2 linked regions of the Lytechinus pictus genome follow. The protein of the gene in region 2 purifies or fractionates together with the protein of the main gene of each other region. This does not show direct contact. Links are inferred from orthologs where the notes say so. Each region holds a gene or a part of one and is shown on either strand. Other genes may lie near its edges.

The links.
Region 1: the proteins of HEAT repeat-containing protein 3-like (region 2) and transmembrane protein 186-like purify together in Homo sapiens (co-immunoprecipitation; 3 studies listed by BioGRID and IntAct, counting the BioPlex papers as one, with this or other methods). This does not show direct contact. The link is inferred for Lytechinus pictus from reciprocal best matches to the Homo sapiens genes HEATR3 and TMEM186.

Annotation. Positions count from the first base shown.
Region 1 is NC_087249.1:2,091,032-2,102,692, reverse strand, and holds the start of transmembrane protein 186-like, read left to right. Parts: upstream 1-7,089; 5' UTR 7,090-7,160; exon of another isoform or gene 7,161-7,204; intron 7,205-10,645; 5' UTR 10,646-10,690; coding exon 10,691-11,443; 3' UTR 11,444-11,661. Other genes in the region: junction-mediating and -regulatory protein-like, read right to left, coding at 24-936. UniProt on the Homo sapiens protein: As part of the MCIA complex, required for efficient assembly of the mitochondrial complex I.
Region 2 is NC_087246.1:37,178,332-37,190,037, forward strand, and holds the start of HEAT repeat-containing protein 3-like, read left to right. Parts: upstream 1-6,978; 5' UTR 6,979-7,088; coding exon 7,089-7,244; intron 7,245-10,307; coding exon 10,308-10,480; intron 10,481-10,925; coding exon 10,926-11,013; intron 11,014-11,677; coding exon 11,678-11,706. Other genes in the region: importin-4-like, read right to left, coding at 1,157-1,243, 6,637-6,702. UniProt on the Homo sapiens protein: Plays a role in ribosome biogenesis and in nuclear import of the 60S ribosomal protein L5/large ribosomal subunit protein uL18 (RPL5). Required for proper erythrocyte maturation.

The sequences.
Region 1 (11,661 bases), on a different chromosome or scaffold from region 2:
TTCTAATCTGCTTTTAGATTTACCTTTTGTCGTTTTCATACACTCTTCAAAATAGTTTATCCTCAGCTTGTTGATGGCATCAATTGATTCCACATAATGCTCCTGCCATTCACTGTACTCCATGGTACATCTTTCTCTTCCCTGCGTACTCATAGACTCATCCTCCAGTCTCTCTTGTAAATTCAGTAAATGATCAAAAGCTAGTTCCCTAAGGTCTAGATAAGGTTGAAGGTAGAGATTGAACAGTTCAGCCTGAGCTGATGCAAGGTCACTTAGAATCCCATCCTCCTTCTCATAGACATCCATCATGTCCTTCATTTTCTTCACTGAAGAGTGCTTCTTGTGCGACGTTGCAAGCTGCTCCTCCCACTTGGCGACGTCAGCTTCATAAGCATCTTGCTTCAATTTACCATAGCTCTCCACATAGCCCTCAATACCAACATGAGAGTTGAAGAGGGTATCAATCACAAGTTTCTTCCCGGCGACTTCAGTTGCGGTTCCAAGGTATCTCACCAGCTGTTGGTCTAAGTCATCAGGAATATCAATATTGTACACCCAGCTCCAGATGCCACGGGGGTCAAAGGGTAAAGATGGAGGATAGTCAGAAAGCTCAGGTTTAACAAGGCACATCTGTTCATGGGCATACTGCAATTCTTGAATGGACATGAGGGTTGTCCAACCTTCTTTGGTTCCGTTCTGCGAAGGTCTACCCTTGGGGTCACCAGGTTGAGGAGTACATGTTTTTTTCCCTGGAGCTCCAACATTGAGGGTTCTTCGTATCACTCGTTGCTCCTCTTCATGGCAGACAATGGCAACCTTGTGAAGCTGTTCGTTCCATGCTACCTTGAAACAAAGACGTGACGTCTTAGCTTCAGAGGTTTGGAATGGATCTGGTTGGATAGCTACCCAATCTTCTGAACTGATTTGTCTCTCCATGATACTCTGTAATAATAATGAAAATAAAAATAATTAGACAATTTATAGGGCACAGGTAATAAGAATCCTGGAAGCGCTGAAAGACTTGTGACAAATTTCCCCACCTTTTGTGGAAAGCCTTCAATCTCATTTTGAGCGCATGCGTGTTTAATTTTCTTATATCCGCCTCTATAGTGATATGATGACTTCGATGGCGATTTATATAGGTCAACTACTTGTATGTCGCATCGAGCTAGCGGAGGCGTCGTATGCCTAGCTAGGTCCTATAGGCCAGCCCAGCAGTCCAGAAGAGGCTTGGTACAAGAAATTCTCTATTAAGATGCTTCCTTGTTGCATCTTCCCATTATCTGCACTGAAGAGTACCTACATCCAGTCCTGGAACCAGACATGGTTGGCATTTCAGCAAGTGGGTATTCAATGTTTATCATTTTATTTAAATGTAGTGAGGCACTGCATAATTTTCCCTTTTCATAATGCCTTTGGATATATGTTAAAAAATATTCTTATTAGTATGCACCAGATCACACAATTTCACCTTGAAAAATGAAAAAGCTCCACACCGTGGGAGAGGTGGTCGCCCCCCTCCCCCACTCCCTCGATTCGCTCAGTTGGGCTTGGTCACTTTACTCCCTTGCGCTTAGCTTCTCGTAAAATCTCACTCTCAACAATTATCAAATGTTGGCAGCCCTGATAAACTGTAGTGTTAAATTCATGGTAATTCCACATGTTCAGGGAGGAATAAAATTTTGTTTCACATGACAATGAGGAGAAAATTTGACTTTTTCATATTTACAAAATACGAAAGAAATAGTGAGTGGGTGACATTTCTCGATACAACATGCAATCGTTGGCAAAGAGCCGGGTTGCAGATGAGACTTGTTGGGGAAGATCATTAACATACAGCAAAAAGAGTGTGGGGCCGTGGACAGTCCCCTGGGGGACGCCCGATGCAAGATACATGCTTTAGATGTTACGCCTTCAAGAACTAGCACATATGTCACTAGTAAGAGGTTAGTATGCTGGAGCTGGATCTAGCATAGCGACCAAGTCAGAAAGTAAAATAGTCAGAGACTGAAATTGAAAAAAAAGCTCAACTTTGCATCTGTCTGCTGGCAATGGCTCAAAAAGATCTATGGCAAGTTCCCACAAGTCTGCATGTGCAGTCCCCCTTGTCTACGCACACGCATATCTGCGCGATTCTAGTAAGTTGTTAGTTGTAACACATAGACAGATATTCATTTAAAAATCTGACTCATAATTAATGGTGGAAAAATAATGAATTTTGGGCATTTCAATGCGACGGCCTCAAATGCAGCCTTTCTCATCAAATTACCCAAATCATGTGCAAAGTGAATGGGTGCGCAGACATGCAGGGGTTCCATTTTTTTTTCCAATCTGAAAAAGACTGACCGAGGTTTTTTCCAAGAAAATCCTATACTGTATTTCTTTCAAATTTGTATGAGATACTTGATACACTTACTCATAATAATATAAGGAACATTATTCACTGAAATATTTTGTGAAATAAAAGAGAAATTCATGTTAATTCTTAACTCAAATCGTTAAATGCGCAGACTTGGGGACCACCATCATACCATCTACTCTGGTAAACAATTTCAGTGTCACTCGGCTCACACAGTCACAGAAACTTAAGTCACATAATCTCTCTACCCTCTAAATGTAGTTAACCCAGAGAGCTCCGGCCCGCTTCGCGCGCCTGGATTACCTTAACATGCTTTTAATAATTAACAAGTTCTAACTAACTTTAATTTAGTTGTTACAATTACAACTACGACAATAAAAGTAAATAATCACAAAGACTGAAAACGACTGAAAAAAGATGGAAGATTATTAGATCTATTAACCTCAACTCAAGTCAAGTGATGTTCTAACCCAGGGAGCCCAGTAGTCGACTGTGCAAAGGAGAGGTATCGCGACAGAACTTTTCGTTTCTTAAAGGTTCCAGTCTGTGTCTCGATGTCAGGATTTGTGTGTCACGAAGTTCATCCATATAATCGTGGTACATGTAAGTGCATAATTTCCGTTTCCACTTTTATTAAGATTACTATTTGAGACCCCAATCTACCCCAGGGGCCTGTTGCATGAGATGGTCTTTGGTAATACCGCTCTACATAAGAACGAGATATCGCTCAACTGTTTCACAAAGCCGATTTGGGCGATGCAAAGAATGATCCTTGGAAAGACACCTCCAGACATGTCCTACGTAGGCATGATCTTCTTTGCACACCGCCCGCCACCGTCAGCATTGAGAGAATATGCGTTTATGGCAAGCCACACTGACATATCACCTTTAAACATTTTTTTTTTGGGGGGGGTCATTCGAGTGCACTCTGATGCATTTTATCTGGGATGGCGCCAAGTTATTTTTTATATGGGGGGGATAATTTCAGGGGCCCGTCTTACAAAGACTTGCGATTGATCCGATCAATCACAACTATGGAAAGCCAGCAAAGTCAACATATAAAATGCATGTTTGCTCAAATTTTTTTTATAGATGAATGTATATCCATAAATTCATTGAATTCTAGATAATTCGATGTGTTCTTTGTTTACAAAGGACATTTTGCAAATTTCCTGTAGAAAAAATTATGACACTGATGGATTTTCATAGAGTTAAGATTGATTGAAACAATTGTAACTCTTTGTAAGACGGGGCCCAGATCATCTTGCATGGCAAGACGACCCAAAACGGGTGTCACTTTAACTTCTCCGGGGTCAATCTAGGCCCAAATAATTTTTTTTAGTATGTTTTCTTTTATTCTCCCTCCTGTCTTTTCCCCACCCCCTTTCCAGTTTTTTTTTTAAATTAAACTTGAAGTTGAAATATCGAAATGAGCGGCAGCCTCTCATTAGATAAACAACATGAAAACTATTTTTTTTTTAAAGAGATCATTATGAATGGTAAAAAACGTGTTTATAACGTTCAACGAAAAAAAGACAGCACGATACAAAACTAAGATGTTACTAAACATGCTTAATCATTTATTTATTTTTATTTCATTTTCATAATGACAATCACTAGCGTACCTACGGGGGGGGGGGGGGGCAGAGGGGGCACTCTGCCCCCTGACGAGCAACCATGACCCATACAAAAGACATATACCTGCCCCCCCTGACGAGCTTAAAAGACCTTTTTTGCCCCCTCCCCTGACGAACTTGAAGACCTTTAATGCCCCCCCTGAAGAGCCTGAAGACCTTTTTTTTTTTTTTTTTTTTTTTTTTGCTTGTCAAATTTTTTGGCGGCCGATTTTGCCCCCCCTGTGGAAAATCCTAGGTACGCCACTGATGACAATTATTATTATTTTTTGCCGAGATTAATTTTAATTAATGAAAATTAATTGATGGATTTGTGCTAACTTGAGATGATGAATGAAACAAAAAAAATCTGCAGTGACTTAACAAAATAGCTAATTGAATTTAATATATAGATTAGGCCTAATAGCTTACGAATCCATCACAATCATTATAAATGAGGATAAGTTTGTTGTATCAATAAAAGAAAAGATTATGAAAAGTCCATACGAAGAGGCGCATTTTAAATCGTAGGGTAGGACCTATCGGCCCCTATGTCATGTTAAAGCAATAATGTAGTCTCGACTCCTTAACTTTGAAATGTTGAACATAATATTCTTAAAGCTTATATTCTTATATAAACTTCCATAAAGTTAATACTAAATAGGTTCATTATTGCGGACTGAAATAATCGCTAGAGGGTATTCATTTGTCTCGCAATCTACTATGGTCAACAAGGAAATTTGTGATCATAAAGTTATCAACTTTAAATATGACCAACGTTTATGATAGTTGTCATTTTTAGCATTGTTTCTGAAAATTGTATTTTTTCCATTGCGGATTGATTTCACACATTTTTCTATGTTTTATTATTGCAAAGCACTACTTTACCCACTTGGACATGTTTGCAGCAATTTTCATATTTTGCTTGTCTTCGATTACTCATCATGCAAAGGTATTTCTTGCGTGATATCTGACAAATAAGATAAATAAGATTTTTCACAAGCAGCCTCTCATATTTTCCTTTTTAGTCTCAAACAATCAGACACATTGATTTTGTTTACTCCATTCAAACCCTATTTTTACCTCAACAAATAACATTTAACGCATAATTTGCAAAATCATCATTATAAATAAGTATTCTATAAAAAAATCAGAATATTGAATTAATACAATGTCAAAATTGCTTAGTTAATTCAATTTTTATGTTGGTCAAGGGTCTCTTTCGTTGAAATATCAATGAAAGGTGTCTCTAAAAGGACACCGTGTTCTAAATAAGAGAAATATAAATGAAAATTTTGCAATTTTATCCAGTTTGTTTGTGAATCTTTAAAGTTTTTTCTCCTTTTACCTCATAAAGTAAGCTCCATACATCAATTCTACAATCAGTAATAATTAAAACATTATTTGATCTCCATTTATTGAAATATATGATTTTATGAAAAGTTGTCATTCCGAAATAAAAGGTTCAGGTGACGATGAAGACTAAATATTTTTCCGATACTATAATCGATATCAAACGATGTCGCGGACTTGGAAGACAAAATTACCTCCGTGAAACGGTAAGCGCTGATTTGTCGCCAATCTTCCTATCTCGGAAGAATGGTCCTAGGACGTTCCTACGGCTACGTATCGCTCATCTCGTCATGCAACAGACCCCAGTGTCTCCCTCGTTTTGCACGGTCAACTCCTGGGCTCCGGCCCACGAAGCGGGCCAGAGCTCCCTGGGTTACCGGTTAGTCATGTTCGTGCAGGCTCCACTCCCCGCTCAGGGGCCGATTGCACGAAAGGGTCTTTCCAAGGACCATCTTTCGTGTCGCCCATATTTTATGATGCGCTGTATGCGGGATTTTACTGAAATGTACTATGATAAACAAATAAAATTTGTTAGCTAGCATTTTAATCGATTTGTATACAAATTACAATTTCCTGATATATCACATCATTTTATAAACAAAGATTTTGTTTACTTTAACAGATGAATAAAATATGTTTGCAGGTAATTTATTTAAAATGTGTTTCACATGGCGCATCATAATAAATGGGCGACACGAAAGACGGTCCTTGGAAAGACCCTTTCATGCAACCCCGGGGGGGCCACTTACATTGACGAGTGGATACCATGCGCGACCAAAAAAACACGTAAAAAGGATGTCCTTTTCACGATAGGGCACGTTACGTACGTAACGTGATAAGGGTGTCAAAAACACAAAAATAATGAAAAAAGGGTGTCTATTTCGCTAGTAAAATTACGTGTTTAGGGTCGAATTTGCGGGAATGATAAAACAAAATTAAAATGTTTTATAAAGCCTTAAAGGATGTCCATTTTGCCCCAACACTTCGTGTTTAGAGTCCGATTTGCGCGAGGTGTAGAAGATGGGGTCGTACTATACCAAATAAGGTAAAGCCGACGACCGAAGGACCCGTAACAATAAAACATTCCTGTACTTGTTCAGGGGATCATATATCAAGGAATATTTGCCAAGAGTCAGGGCCAAGAGTATATCGTTTTGTTTCCAATACTTGTTAAGGGTAGGGTTTCACACGCCAATACTTATGTTAAGGGCTGCATTTTCAGAATATGGAAATTACGTGTTTAGGGTGCTTTTTCGAGACCCCATGGTCGCGCATGGTATCCACTCGTGAATGGAAGTGGCCCCCCCGGGCATGCAACAGACCCCAGCTCACTCACTGTCACACAACTTCACAAACAAAAACATGCGAGGCGAGGCTCCCCGCTAGTAATACTAGTACCGTACTAGTAGTAGTACACAGTCACTAGACTACGCCTACGCCACGGCCGGCTTCTACGCTACAGACGTACAGTACAAAGCGTAGTGTATCGGTAGTGAAGTGGAGTGGAGCCTGCACGAACACCAGTGGAGGTAATTGTGGGCAATTGTGGATAAGATTTAAGAAAATGAGATCAAATATTGGTTACATTACAACAAAAATGAAATTACAACCTGAACTGAGGCCTGAGGCTGAGCTTCAGCTTCGACTAGCTCGAGCAATGTAAATAATCATGACGTCATCTCCCCTTTAAAGCCTTGAAGACTGTGCTCTTATCTCTATACCGCGTGCCGTTAGTTAGTTCCGGTAACGTATAGCTATGAAAAGAGTCTAGTTCAGATCAGAGAAGGTATCCCAGTAAAATCAATGTATGCTCCCATGTGAACTGAAAGAGAAAGGTATTCAGCTGTTATTTATCGTCCATCCTATCCTTTTGAATTTGGTTCGTATTTATATTTCCCCCGAAAATATTTATATGCTTATACGCACTTTTTTTTGGCTTAGAATACAATTTCCTAATTTTCTTCCTATGCATGGTAGCTGCTAGTACTTTTAGTAGCTGCGAGCTATATTAGTCCCACACATATGTTTTCGTGGAGTAGAAAAACGTTCTTAAAGGTCAAGTCCACCCCAGGAAAATGCTGACTTGAATAAATAGAGAAAAATTAACCTAGCATAGTGCTGAAAATTTCATCAAAATCGGATGTAAAATAAGAAAGTTATGACATTTCAAAGTTTTGCTTATTTTTAACAAAATAGTTATATGAACGAGCCAGTTACATCCAAATGAGAGAGTCGATGATGTCACTCACTCACTATTTCTTTTGTTTTTTATTGTTTGAATTATACAATATTTCATTTTTTATAGATTTGACAATAAAGACCAACTTGACTGAACCATATAGTATTAAACAATGCTAATTCCACATGTTCAGGGAGGAATCAATCGTTGTATCACTCGACAATTAGGAAAAAATGAGAATATTTCATATTTCAAATAATAAAATACAAAAGAAATAGTGAGTGGATGACATCATCAGTCTCCTCATTTGCATACCAGCCAGGATGTGCATATAACTGTTTTGTGAAATTAAGCGAAACTTTAAAATGTCATAACTTTCTTATTTTACATCCGATTTTGATGAAATTTTCAGTGTTTTGCTTGTTGGATTTTTATCTTTTTATTCAAATCAACTTTTTGTTGGGGTGGACTTGTCCTTTAATAAATTTAATACTTTATTAAATATTACACAATCACGAAATTTACCTGTTTTTTTTGTAAGCTTCACTTCCTAGGCTGCAAGCTGTATCAGACCTTTGTCTTAGTTGGTGCATTTGCCGATGCAGCACGACAGAGGCAGAGCAGAGCTAGAGTGAGAGTATGGACTATGAATGATATATAAGTATAACTATAAATAATGAGTAGTCATGCATGACGTGGTATGGGATTATTGGGATTGTCATGAAGACCCATGATCATTCATGATGATTGTCTGTTTTTGTTTCCCTCAAACCTTATTTATTAATTTTTCATTTATATGCTTTAAGGGACTACTTTAAGTGGTGAGATTACACAACACTTGAAACCTTTTGATGATATTTTTTTTCCAATTCAATAAGTTTAACACTTAAATAAACGTTATTAGAATAATTAAGTCTACGGTACGGAAAAAACTTAAATTAAAAGGATCATACAATACGGTTCATAAATAATGTCAAATTTCAAATTTATAGGTCTAGTCTAAAGAAGGAATTAAGTAGCATGTATTGTAGTAGACATGAATAACTGTCGTTTCTGGGCATTTATTTAACAATTTCTGACACTTTACTATCGTCCCCATTCAGTATTGGTGAGTGGAGCCAACGTAGTTAAGTGGAACAACCAATTTACAGAGACTGAAGTTGTTTGTCTAGTAGTATTGTAGGGAAAGTTCCTAAAAGTGCCCCTGGCAATATTGATTTTTTTTTCCTTCAGGATATGAAAATGGACTGTGATCAAATTCCCTAGCAATTGTCCAGAAAATTAGTTATACAGTGCGTCCCAGAAAAAACGAAACCGAGATTTAGCGATGATTTATCATAACTTAATCATAAATAAAATAGACAAATGACCTACCAATTTAAAGCTTAGAATCTCCTCTTTCATCTGGTATTACTTAGACTATTCCTCATTCACGCATGATTGAGCAAAAACAATTCAAAGAAAGGATGCCAAAAACTCATTTGGCGGGGGGTATCTGAATTTCAAAAAGAAAATCACATGACTAAAAAGTTCAATATCTTCTCTTTTCTTTGATACCTAAATCACAGAAAATGGTCAAGTAGTAAAAAAGTTATGATCCCTCGAAACAATGCTTGTATTTCCATAATTTCATTAAATAAACGTGTTTTCACCGGTTTCCCACTGAAGCTATCGCACGGTAACAAAAGACTTAATGCATGGCTGATCGTCAACAAAACGGAGTGTCGAGTGAGTGTGAACTCTAGCCTGTAAAACCTCTTCATTTTATGAAATTATTGAAATTCAAGCCTTATTTCAAATAACCAGAACTTTTTTATTTCTTGACCATTTTCTGTAATTGAGGTATCAAATTAAAGAGCAGATATTGAACTTTTTAAAAATGTGGTTTTCTTTTTAAAACCCAGATACGGCCCACCAAGTGACTTTTTGGTATCCGCTTTTCAAATTGTTTTTGCTCACTCATGCGTGAATGAAAAATAATCTAAGTAATTTCAGATGAAAGAGGAGATTCTAAGCTTTAAAATGGTAGGTCATTTGTCTATTGTATTTGCGATTAAGTTATGATAAATCATCGATAAATCTCGGTTTCGTTTTTTGTGGGACGCACTGTATAAATGTCGATCCTTCGATCTGATTTTGCCTAATATGATAAATAAGGATATAAAAATTGTAACTAAAAATGTTATGTAATTAAGGGGCACCTTATTTGTAATTTGTTATTGAAATGTCCTATGGGGGATCAATTGATTAAGTTACAAAGTAGGTATAAAAACTACAAAGGGATTGAATTACAATGAATGGAATTCATTATTCATTGAGTAAAAATGAATCATGAACCAATAAGCCCATGATATGCTATAAAGGTTGCAGTCTATTTGACTTCTACACTGTACAAGTGTAACAATGAGTCAGATTGTTATTTTCCCCTTATATTAGAAGTTCAGTTCATCTCATTTAAGAAATACCGGTATGCATCTGCATCATATTTTCACACTGCATACAGCATTAAATTGACAAATGTAGTGTAAAACAGTGACTCATCTGATATTCTCCCATAGAGTCAATGCGAGTAATTGCACAATATAATACATCTCTATGGTGTTTTCCCCTCTATTCTTTGCTTTTATTTCTTTACAGATAGTGAATATATTCTAATCTCCCCAGACTGACATTGCTTTTGTCATGAGTTGTGTCCTACTTCATATCTTATATATTTCTTTCTTTTCTTTTTTTCAACACAGTAAGCAAAGCTATGCAAAATGTACAAAAATTTTCAGTTTTGTGAGCAGTTATTTTGTAGTCATTTCATTTACTTTTACTAATGTCTATGGAGAAACGATTGGACAAAATTTGCTTTGTTTCTAGCCATTTTTCAAAAGGCTACAGATGGCTACAAAGCAGCTTTTAATATAAACAGGAGGAAAAGGGCTCAAAGTAGCTCACTGTGCAACCATTTGCAGTTACTACAGTGTACTGCCATTGTAAACTGTACTTGATTCTCCAATTTGGCTGACATAATGTGCATTATTCAATAAGACTTCTCATGTCCCTGGGTAAATTCAACAGTACTAAAATTTCAGTCCTTTATATTTTTTCATTTCAGTTTGAATACAACATCTTTCTCTTATTTTGCTATTGCAGGCAGGACCCATTATTTGATGTGAACAATTTCTTCAAGTCAAGAAGATGACAATGCAGGTTCTATTGAAACTTTGCCAAGGGCAAAGAGCAGTGTGTCCAATTCTTAATCTATCTACAAAGAGTCTCATCAGGAACAAAGTATGGAAAGCATCATCTGTGCTTTCAACAAGGAATATTGCATCAAAAATGCAAGAACACTTTCTAAACTTTGGCAGGAGTCCTCTTCGCTCAAGGAGTATAGCTTGTCTTGTCCAGCAGCGACTACCAAGTATTTCAAGAGGAGTAACCAGCAAAGTAAGTGACATGGTTTCAGGTGAAGAAGACGATCCAGAATTCAAAGCATTCTACCGTCTTCCATCCATTGTTCAGCTGAAGATACTATCAAGGATCAAGATAGTCCAGACTGGGTTAACACTAGCTCTAATCCCTCCTATCTATTACTACCATGATGCAGGTATGTTGATGACATGGCAGCTTCAGTTCTCTGTTGGTATCGCGACCTTTGCCCTCTTCATGCTTTATGCCATGAGCTTCTTCCTAAGGCGAATGATCGGAGCAATGTACCTACATCGTGAAGGAGACATTATCAAAGTCTCCCATTTGACATTCTGGGGAGGCAGGAGAGATACTGTTTTCCCGGTAATGGATGTTATCCCCCTGAGTGAAGGAAGCAATAGAGCAGATGATGTACTCTTAAAGTTGGAGAGATACAGCACAAAGGATATCCTTTATTTCACCCTGCCGATTGGACGTGTCATTAATGCGGAAGCCTTTGAAAGCGTATTTGGTCAACCTTAATGATGCAAATCTGTTAGTCTGTCAATGAACATTATTGGCATTAACTTTGTCCAGTCTTTAGGGGAAACCCCCAGAAAAGTCTTGAATATGATTTTTACTTTGGAAATTAAGTGATGTTCATGTGCCTCCCCTCTCCTGCCCTGAGAAAAACTTGGCAAAATCATATAAAACTTTATCCTGTTATATTATTGGCAGGGTTTATGTATAATCATTTCAAA
Region 2 (11,706 bases):
ACTGCTAGCTTTCTACAGCCCATGCACCCAACTGCTCATTAGGATGAGAAAATTATGTAATTTGCTTCCAAACTATGGGAATACCAGCAACCAAATTCCTGTGAAAGTTGTTGTAACACTAATAGTATCTTCTTTGAGAAAAATTACAATTATCTTTCATACTGGCAAAAATACCTGGTACATGTACTTTCCTGATCGGGATAGATCAGGGTAAATGTCCAATCGGAGAATAAGAATTCTCGAACTTTGTGTCTCTCTAAATAGGGCTACTGTAAATATTTTCAAAATTACTATTCAAAATATAACACTGGTATATGTACATGTTAGTCCTCAGGAGGAGGGGGGCCGGGAGGAGGGCCTGGTGGGGACCAGACACAACCATATTGCTGCTTACATTTCCAACCTGATAAATACATTGAACAGGGTGGTCTTTGCTGGTTGGTGGGTGGAATTCATGTGACAATTTTAATGCTGAGGAGGTAAAAAAATGCCAGAAATCAGAATAAAAATAGTTTATAATTAAGGAAAATTTCTTAGTTGTTGCATTTTGGCATTTAATGTACCCCCCGCCTATATTAGGAGTATTTTTTTGGGGGGGTGGGCGAATCATTTGGTAAATGTTTGGAAATCAATGTATTGAAAAGGGTATAAATTTTACCAATCAAATAAATTCTGAGTCTTTTATTGATACAGATGAGTCCCCATAGTCACATAGCATTTTTTATAAAGCTTGGAAGAATTTATGGTAAAATCAGGGACATGGAATTTGAAGAAATATGAAATAATGCAAAAAAAAAGATAATTACCTTTTAAGTATATTATTCCCTCTCATATTAACAGAGAAAACAGGATAGTTAAGGTTGCTTCAAATTCAAACGAGAAAATGTTACTATAAGTAAACAAAACACAAAACTTTCCTTTTTAGTAAAGGAAAGCAAGATTTTCAAGACTGGCATTGCAGAAATGCTAGTTTTATCAACTTTCCCCCCTTTTTTGGGCTCTGATCAGTGATACCTTTAACCGATTGTAGCATACAAGATTAATGTTTTCCCTTAAATCTTCATGTATGTGAACATCTCATGTCTATGAAGTTTGTGGGAAAGACAGGAAGAATGGCGGAAGGAAAGGAGAAGGTTAGCAAAGGGCTAAATTATACCTGTGGGTTTTGAGACGTCGTAAGGACAGAACATAGCTCTGGCACAACGCCAGGGCTCTTCAAAGCTTGCTTCAGTTCTTCTGTGCCCTGCAGTGGGGGAAGGAGAAGGAAGATGAGGAGGAGGAGAGGAGGGGCAGAGGAAGATGGGAGGGGAGAAGGAAGGGTTGAGGAAGACATAAGGGGAGGGAACGGGGATGAGGGAGAGGGGGATGGGAGGAGGAAGAAGGTGAAGAGGAAAAGTGAAAAACAAAAAGAGAAGGAAATGGCAGGAAAAAAAAACAAAGTTGACAAATAGAAAACAAGGAAAGAGATATGAGAAAAAAAGAGGATATGAAAATAAAAAAGAGCAAGGTGGAAGAGATAGGGAAGGAAACAAAGAAAGAAAATTAAAAAGAAAGGGAGAAAGAATGAGAGAGACAGAGAGAGAGAGAGCAAGAAAGAAAGAAAGAAAGAAAGAAAAAAAGAAAGAGAGAAAGAGAGAAGAAAGAGAGAAAGAAAAAGAAAGTAAGAAAGAAAGAAAGAGAGAAAGAAAGAAAGAGAGAAAGAAAGAGAGAAAGAAAGAGAGGAAGAAAGAAAGTAAAAAAGAAAAAAAGAAAGTAAGAAAGAAAGAGAGAAAGAGAGAAAGAAAGAGAGAAGGAAAGAAAATGAGTAAGCGATGCAGCACATCGAAATGGGGTGGGGGAGGGATTGAATCAGAAAACAAAAACATGGTAAATTAAAAAGGGAATGAGGTAGCATGTGGAAATAATGAAATTGAACATTTAAAAAAAAATACTCAGATCACTGCAAAGGAAATTTAGAAAGATGACGAAAAAAGTTATGGGTAATGCCAAGTACAGTTTTTGTAGTGAAAAAAATATAATTATCGATTATCAGTAAGCAAATTAGAATCATAAAATGTGATCATTTTTATTGCACCTTTCACACATTTTGTTTTATGACATCTATAGTTTTTCAAACATTTCATTTTTTCACATTATAATTTAAGCTTTGAAACAGAACTTTAGATTAATAAAATAATAAAATGAAAGGGAAATATGGTTGAAACAAAACAGGATGGAAACATATGTTCGTAATCAGGTGTGGATTCATGGGTTACTTCCTCTTTCTTAATGATTTTCCTTTAAAAAACTAAGTACAAGTCAGTGAAATTGCAATAAAAATTGTAATAAGTGGAAAAGATCAAGGCATTCAACACCTAACAATCTCTCAAGTTACATCTCTAACTTTCCATAAAAGTTCCATATACTGAGGACCATTGGAATTCAACAAAAAACAAATTGCCATAATAAAGCTTGAAATATAGAATGTGAGTCTGAATAAATTCATGAAAATCAATTATGTACACAAAAAACAAAATTTAAATATGAAATGTTTCAGAAAGTGAAACTGAATATTCTGTATTCACAATCACAGCTATTAAGTTTGAAAAAAAAAATAGACCACTTCAGATCTATACATCTCATTGGATGAAAAATTAAAACTTTCACCATATTTTCTGCTATTTTCATATTTTCAAAACCAAATCTCTATTCATAACTGCTTCAACGAATGTCTGCTTCTCTGATCATAGGAATCAAAGTTCGAGAGTTCATATATATTTAAGTACAAAAATAAAAAGCATATCAATAACAAACAAGCGAACTTATCTGGAATACATATAGGAATACATGAATCCCCCAAACCAGTAGTGAGAAAATATGTTTGATGATAAAAAGGGTTTGGTGAACATAATTGAATATACATGTAATTAGGTGAAATCATAAAATACATTGATGGAAGGTGTTGGAGATAATAAAAAAACAACAACAAGATAAGAAAACAAGTTTAAAGGAAGGGTGGATACAACTTCTAGATCAAATTTAAAATCATTAACAAGTCCACCCAACCAAAAGCTGATTTGAATACAAAAAAGAGAAATTAAATACCGGGTATGCTTAACACTGAAAATTTCATAAAAATCGGATATAAAGTAGGAAAGTTACTATGACATTTTAAAGTTTCGCTTATTTTTACAAGACAGTTATATTCACATCCTAGTCGGTATGCAAATGAGGGGACTAATGACATCACCCACTCACTATTTCTTTTGTATTTTATTACTTGAAATATGACATATTCTTATTTCCCCTCATTGTGAACAAGTTTAAGTCCTCCCTGAACAAGTGGGATTACCATTGTTTTAAGATTTTGTGGTTCAGTCAAGTTCATCTTTATTGTAAAATCTGTAAAAATTGAAATATTGTATAATGCGGACATTAAAAAAACAAAAGAAATAGCGAGGGACATCATCTACTCTCTCATGTCTCTGAGTTGTGCATAACTGTTTTTTGAAAAAATAAGCAAAACTTAAAAATGTCATAACTTTTTTTATTTTACATCCAACTTTGATAAAATTTTCAGCTTTCTGCTTCTATGATTTTTCTCATTGATTCAAATCAACATTTTCTGGGGTAGAGTTGACCTTTAAGGGGCATCCCCCTCTCCTTATATCATCTCTCTTCTCCAACATCATTTTATCATCGTTCATAAATTTATTACTTTAAAGGTGATCAGATCATCCTCAGGTTGTCTATCAAAACAAAACAATGAACCAATGAAGTTTCTCAGTTAGTTTCACATATCAATATACATGTAGAATGAAAAGTTACTTAGGAAAAGTCCACCCCAAAAAAAACTTTAAAAAAAGAAAAAATCCAACAAGTGTAACACTGAAAATGTTAACAAAATCATATGTAAGATAACAAAATTTTGACATTTTTAAGCTTCCCTTGATTTCACAAAAAAAATTATATGCACATCCTGCCAATGAGAAGACTGATGACATCACCCACTCACTACTTCTTTTGTACATGCATAATGATGCATTTTATTTATTATATGAAATATGTAATATTCTAATTTTCTCCTCATTGTCATGTGATTATGTGAAACAAAGCTTTACTCCAGAGCTGTTAGCATGTGGTATTACCATTTATGGTTCAGTCGAGTTGAACCTTATTGTCAAATTTCAAATCTGTAAAAAATGAAATATTTTACAATTCAAACAATAAAAAACAAAAGAAGTAGTGAGTGCCAGACATCATCGACTCTCATTTGCATGTCATTGAGTTTTGTGAAAAATATGAAAAACTTAAAAATATCATAACTTTCCTATTTTACATCCGATCGTAATGAAATTTTCAGTGTTGGTCGCATTTCATAAGTTGGGTATGCAAAAAGGGTGGCGGATGAACAAATAATAAATTGTACCTACATCACAGCCCCATGGCCAAATTTGTTGTGTAAGGTCTCATTTTTGGAGCTAGAACTATAGGCTAAATAGTAAATATATTACTACAAATTAGATCAATACAATATCAGCAACAAAAACTATAGCACATTAAGTTTGAAGTTAAGGGGTGGCAGAGCCGGTGGATGCGGTGAATGATAATATTGTTGTAATGTGATGCTTAACGCATCATTTTTGTTCATTTACAGCATTTTCATTAGTTAAATGTCACTACTTAAACAAACTAAAGTTCAAATTTAATGTCAAAACAAACTTTTGAAACTACTGTATTTCAATGTCCCTATACAGTTAAATTATTAATGATGTTCCTAATAAATACACTCGATTAAGTAGGAAAAGTTTATCCAATATATACATTCAATAACCCTTTTTTCCCTAATTTCTTTTAATTTCAATATTGATTGAGTCTAATTTCACTTTAGAATTATTTTAAAGACTCTGGGCATCACTTTTTTAAGTTGAAGTACATTCATAAAAAAAGATATAGGCATGCAGGTAAATTATGTTAAGTTAATTAACTTAAATAACAACTAAAACATGCATTATTGTGCCATGATACATTCTATTATGTCATAATATGTACAATTGTACATGTACATGTATACTGACTGTCAGACTCATATTTCTAGCCAGTTTAAATTATGCAAATTTGACAACTTTGAAAACATTCCAGAATTAGCTACATGTACATGTGCATTTTAGCTCCAATCTGCAACCTATCTACCGGTAATTAGTAAATCCTATCTAATTAGTAAATTTTAGGAAAATATTGTTAACTATTTAATTTATAAACTTAATTTATACTATTTTAAAGTCTTGTATCATTAAAAAAACAACATTTTTTTCTATTCACGGTGTAGTGAATTTGCAAGGCATGTGAGGGTGAGCTGAGAGTCACTTTTTTGGAAAAAATTGCAAAATTAAACATTGTTAAAATTAGATGTAATTAATATGCATGCAATAACAGATTACCACTTTTTTGTTATGGATGTATTAAGCATTGATGTTCAAATAATACAACTGCAAAATAACATCGGTATAACAATAACAATAACAATAACAAAATACTAGGGTGATCCAATGTAGCATTAATTTTTTACACCATTTTTTGTGCAGAAAGTCCAATTTGAGAAAAATGCATTTAAAAATTCAAATTTACATTGACATCAATGTATTAGATATAAAATGAGTCATTTTAAGAAAAATAAAGGTATTTTAGGATAAAATCCTCCTTCAATATTTGAAGAATGGTAATACCTAAAAAATAACTTTTTCGACCATTTTTACCCTGTTCGCAAAATTGGACCACTTTATGACATGCGACCTGTTATGCTTGTTTGATTTTTCTCTATTCAAAATTATATCAATCTGTGATGGACTTGACCTTCAAAAAAGCATTCACATTTATTGTGAGTAGCCTTTATTTTGATCCCCAACCCACCCCTCAGTAGAATAAGAGAAAAATCTTCCTGCAATCAATATTGTTCAGTTACAATGTATTTTCAATGAATCCAGAACATAGTCGTAGATACTGCTCGTACTGTGGAGATCTGAAGAAAAAGAAAGTAGGGCCTAACTCTCTCACCCAAATTTCAACAAAGAAGTTTCATCAGGAATTTAGATCTAAACATTAAACACCTTTGGCAAAGCTAAAATATAAATAAAAAAACATTATTTCAAGATTAATTTTTAATCAACATCACCACCCAGTGTTGGTAAAAAATAAATTGTTAAACATGACTAGCACTATACAAATAGCTCCATGGTATAGGCATATCCACCACCAGCACCATCTGCATTATCAATATCATCACCATCACCATTATGATTTATCATCATCATCGTCATCACATCATCATTCATCTGTTCATATTTATGACATCATCGTCATCATCATCAACATCCTCATCATCACCACCGCCATCACCATCACCATCATCATTCAGTCACAGAAGCAAAATCAGCTGTACTTGGTCTCACTCTCAGACATACTCATAGTTCAGTCTCAGCCTCGGCTTCTGCTGCAAATCATCATGCAAAAAAAGCCAAAATCAGCAGATCAGGATTCAGGCCAGGCCAGGGCCAGGGATATGGCCTGTGTCAGTCTGAGCTGCTGAGTCTGAGCAATTTTGGCAAAGGCGTATTACTAATTTTAGCCGTTGCTTGCCAGTGGCAGTGTAGTCCTTACCTGTTGTATTACCACATTGTCAGGCACAAGAAGTTTCAGAAGAATTTGTTCAAGCGCTGATGACATTTTCCCAGGCTAAGCTCCGTCCTTCCCTGACACAAACTCAAGTCTACTCTAAAATCTAATGCCAATGCACTTCCTACGATTACGGTGCGCTCCCAACCCCGTCTTCTGCCAATTCTCCACGTAAAATGAATGAAAGTGTGCATGCATGGCACGGGTGTGATGAGTAAGTTAGACTCTTCAAAGAAAAAATGAGAAACCGGAACTTATTTGCACATGCACTGTGTAAGTGTAAAGCAAGCGACAAACAATAAAACAACTGGTAACACATCTACGTCTGAACAGTTCAAAGGTCATTATGTCCACATGGTTAATGTTATTTTGACACTGACGTGTTTCTCTCAGACTTTGTAAGATTGTAACTTTGAGGAGGTTTCGTCGCATCAAATATGGGAAAATCGAAGAATAAGAGATTCCGTTCAAAGAAGGCACAGCCGACTGGTTTGGAGAGTGTGAAGGAAATACAAGCAGAGGAAGAAGAACTCGGCACGTCCACGACCTCCTCGGACACCGTACAGCTGAAGACAGTCGGAGTGTTGGAGAAGGTGCGCGGGGCCCCGCCCCGGTAGTTTTTGTGTGTGTCGAGTGGTTGAGAGCAAGAGACGTGATTGCGGCCGGGTCGGGTGGGGTCACTTGTTCACTTCTCCCACGTCCCACCCTGCCTTGAGTGTGGGGAATCTAAATTATGTAGATCACTGCAGTATACAATTCACATTTAAAAATTCATTAAAATGCCACTTTAAAAACCATACAGTTGTCATGGCCATGGGGATCAGTTATTCACTGACAGTGACACAAGTCACTGGACCTGGACTCTGGAGCGCTCAAAACTTGAATTTTTGGCATATATTTGTGCAGGCCCTCTATTGATAGAAAGTAAAATTTTAAGAAAATTGTCATTTTTCAATCTCTTTTTTTAATTCAGAAAAAATACTTGAATAAAAGACTTCAATTTTTAAGATAATAAGAACCCGGGGGGGGGGGGGGGCACTTCCATTGACGAGTGGATACCATGCGCGACCATTTATTCTCGAATAGCACCCTAAACAAGTATTTTCCAAATTCTGAAAATGCATCCCTAACAAGTATTGGCATGTGAAACCCTACCCTTAACAAGTCCTGGGGGGGGGGGGGGGAGGGGGGGCCATGCAGTCAAACAAATAAATAAGTACAGCGATGTTTTAATTTTTAAGTCACAGTCTTAAGTTTTACCTTTACCTACATCATTGGGTTTATAGTACGGCACCAGCTTGTGTAAATCGTACACGTAGTGTTGACTGTTGGGGCAGAAAGTACATCCTTTATAAAACATTTTAGTCTTTTTTATACCCACGCAAATTTGACCCTTGACGTAGCTTTCCTAGCGAAATAGATACCCTTTTTTCATTATTTTAGTGGTCTTGACACTCTTATTACGTTACATACGTAACATGCCCTATCTTGGAAAAAGAGATCCTTATTACATGTTTTTTGTGGTCGCGCATGGTATCCAATCATCAATGTAAGTGGCCCCTCTGGGCTTAAGAACCAAGTTATATGATGAATAGTTGTAATGGAAAATGACAGTGTAAAAAAAAAATCAAGCATTTGTCAAGAGAAACAAGAGAAAATAAGCCAAACATTGCCAACCACAGGGAATAGTAACCTTGTTCATTAAATGAGCGGTTGGGATGAGACTTTCTGCAGGTATTTTGTAGCTGGCCCAAATCAGAATGCCCATTATAGCAAAACGGTTAATTATGTTCATTATTGTCCATGTGAGCGCTCTAATTTTAGCTCAATTGTATTCAGTTTTACCCTTGGCCTCGGCCCTCCATTTACAGTAACTTAGAGGCGCTGGTCAGAAAATTGGGACCGTCCCAGTTTACAGGGACTATCTCAGTTTTCAAAGATTCCACCACACAAGAAATCTAGGAAAGTTCATTCACCTGTGCCGACACCAATCTAGTGCGCTAGTCAATGTAAACATATAATCGAGTTTCACAAAAAGATTATTGGAAGACGGCATATCGTGAAAAGACAGTGAACTGGGGGGAATTGAGGTCACTGAATCTAATTTTAGCACTCTCAATCCCCGAAATTGCCGTCTTTGTCCCGCATGGGTAAGTGAAAAAAAAATGTCCCCATAAACAAGGACAGTCTCAATTTATTAAGACATGATTTGTCTTGGTTTATGAGTATATTCTTGTTTTCTGGGACAATCCCAATTTTTGGACCAGCGCCTCTACTGATTTGAATTGTCTCAGTTAACAATTAGATTAGATAATAAATTCAACTGTCTCATACTGATAATAAGCTTTTAATTTGTCATATATAGTCTAGTAGACTACATTAAAATAATCCTCAACACCTAAAACACAATGAAAATTACTTAAAAGTCTCAGAAATTCCATATCTAACTTCTGAAAAAGTAGCAAAATAGATCATCTTTATGTGCTGAAAAATAAACATAACAGGACCTAGCTTGCTCAGCTGTGTGTCGCACGCACGTTTTTAGTATACAAGTTATCTCGTGTGTAAGCATTGTCGTATGCTAGCGAAAATCCATTAAAAAAAAAATTCATAATGCAAGCCTATGTCTATGGCTTTACTATGTATTGTGTGCTGCACAGTGTGGCTTTTCACGACCATACACCGAAACTTCAACAATTCAAGTTTTGACAATGATCTTGAGATTTTGATGATATCGAACCTTAAACCCCTAAAATTAGAAAAGAATGAAATAAGCTATCTATATCTCAGAATAATTGACAAATCTAGCTCATTTTGAGCGGATTACGTTTGATTTTAAAGCTAACTTTGATATCAAAATCCGCTGCATTCACCGTACAGGGGTACAATCATGGTGGATTCTTCCGCCCAACGCGCACATACAAATTTCGTGCACATCCGCGATAGCGCCAATTAGCGCTCATTGTGGATCCTACTGTCTCACTCTCAGTTTTCAATCAAACTAATTGATTAATGTTACAGTCTACAAATTCAATTTTTAGGAAAGTTCAATCACCTGTCAAGTGCTGACACTTATCAAGTGCACAAGTCAATGTAAACATACAGTATCAGGTGTCTAACAAGATTATTGGAAGACGGCAAGTCCTAAACAATATATGGTGAATTGAATCTGTTGGGATCGAGGTCACTGAATCTACGTTATTTTTAGCACTCAATCCCCTTAATTTTGGTTTATGTCCTGCAGCTGCGCAGGGAGAAGTGGGAAAAAAAACTCAATTTATCAAGACACGATTTGTCTCATTTTATGAGGATATCCTTCTTTTTGGGGCACTATCTCAATTATTGGACCAGCACATCTATGTTAATCAGTCTAAAAAATGTGAGTCATACATGGTGTATTGTCTTTGATCATTTGTGAACTTGGTAAATGTCATGTTGGTCAGTAGTAGTCGGCTGAAATACGTCTGGAAGATGTTTTTTTTTAAAATTTGTTTCCTCCTTCAGTCCAGGCCAGCAGATTGGAAAACCGAATGAAAAAACAATGCAGAAAAATGGTAGTACTAAAAATGGGTGAAGGAGAAGAATATATGCAACAATCTGTCAGAGATGCATGCTCTTTGGATGAACTTGACAACTTTTTCTGTCTTCATTTTCAGCTTCAAAGTAGCTCGGCTGAGGAGAGAGAATGTGCCTGCACGTCTCTGGCAAACTTGGTCCAGGATCCCCAAGCACTGCAGACCTTGGTCCAACAGAAAGCAGTGCGTAGCCTTGGGCCTCTTCTCGTTGACCCATCATCAGGTATCCGAGAAGCTGCGGCTGGAGCTTTGAGGTAAATTTCTTTGTATATTTCTGTCTGTCTCTCTCCCTGTCTGTCTCTCTCACTCTCTCTCTTTCAGAAAAAAAGAAGAAGTAATTTTTACTTGCATTTAGGATCTGTGTGCAGATTGTCCTAATTTCCAAGGTTTATTTCAAAGTTAAAGAGTTCACAAACTAGTGGCTTAAATTATAATGCAATTGCAAAGCACTCAGGGGTCAATTTTCTTACAAAAATCGACCAAAGAACTTTCTGAACGCAGAAATCATTGTTGCTATTAAAGACTCAAGATAGGGATTGATAAATAATCTGATGAAAATATGCATTTTGTAAATTTGTAATCTGATGAATTTACAAATTTGTAAATTCAAATTAGTAAATTTACAAATGTTGTAAATTCACAAGTGATTGTTTTATTGTGAATAATGAAATATTAATTTATTTTCTTGATATTGTTCAGGAATCTGACTGTAGCAGGTGGACATGATATTTGTGACCATATGATAGATGAAGACATCATGACCCCTCTAGTTGCATTCCTACTTCAGGTAAGAATCCATGTCAAAGGTTATTGTATACTCTATACACTTTTCTTTATGGCTTTTGTCCTCAAACAACTCAACAAATAGAGTCAATGTTTTTAGTTTATGTATTAAAGATATTTCACTTATTTTCTTTTATTATTATTTTTTGATTGATTGATTGATTTATTCATTAATTCATTTATCTATTTCATTTTTTAAAATATTCTTTTATATTTTGTTGGCAGGCTCAGGTCAAATTTTAGATCAGTTGTCAAGCTATAGAGTATCATGAAAGGTTAATGAATTTTCAACTAAGACATTGACCTTGTTGGAATGTGATAAGAGCAGGCTCTTAGTCTTTCTGTCATGAAAGTTAGATGAGGATGTCATTTATGTTGAAGAATCTACTTATTTGCCATTTCAGAGTTATTAATGAGACTTTTCCTTGAATAGTAAACTTGACAGCCAAGCATACAACATCAGATGATGAACATTGAATCTGTTATAATCCCATAAAATGATCAACCTTTTTGTAGACCTGTCTAACCTCCATTTTTGTCCAGTTTTAATTCACTGTACAAACTGCTCATGCCATGATAATTTAAGAGCAGTACAGTTATGATACAAGCTAGAACTAAGATATTCATTTGCAATTTAGTTGTTTTATGCCAATGAATGTTATGTTTAGTATTCAGATGGAATTCCACAGACCTCTGC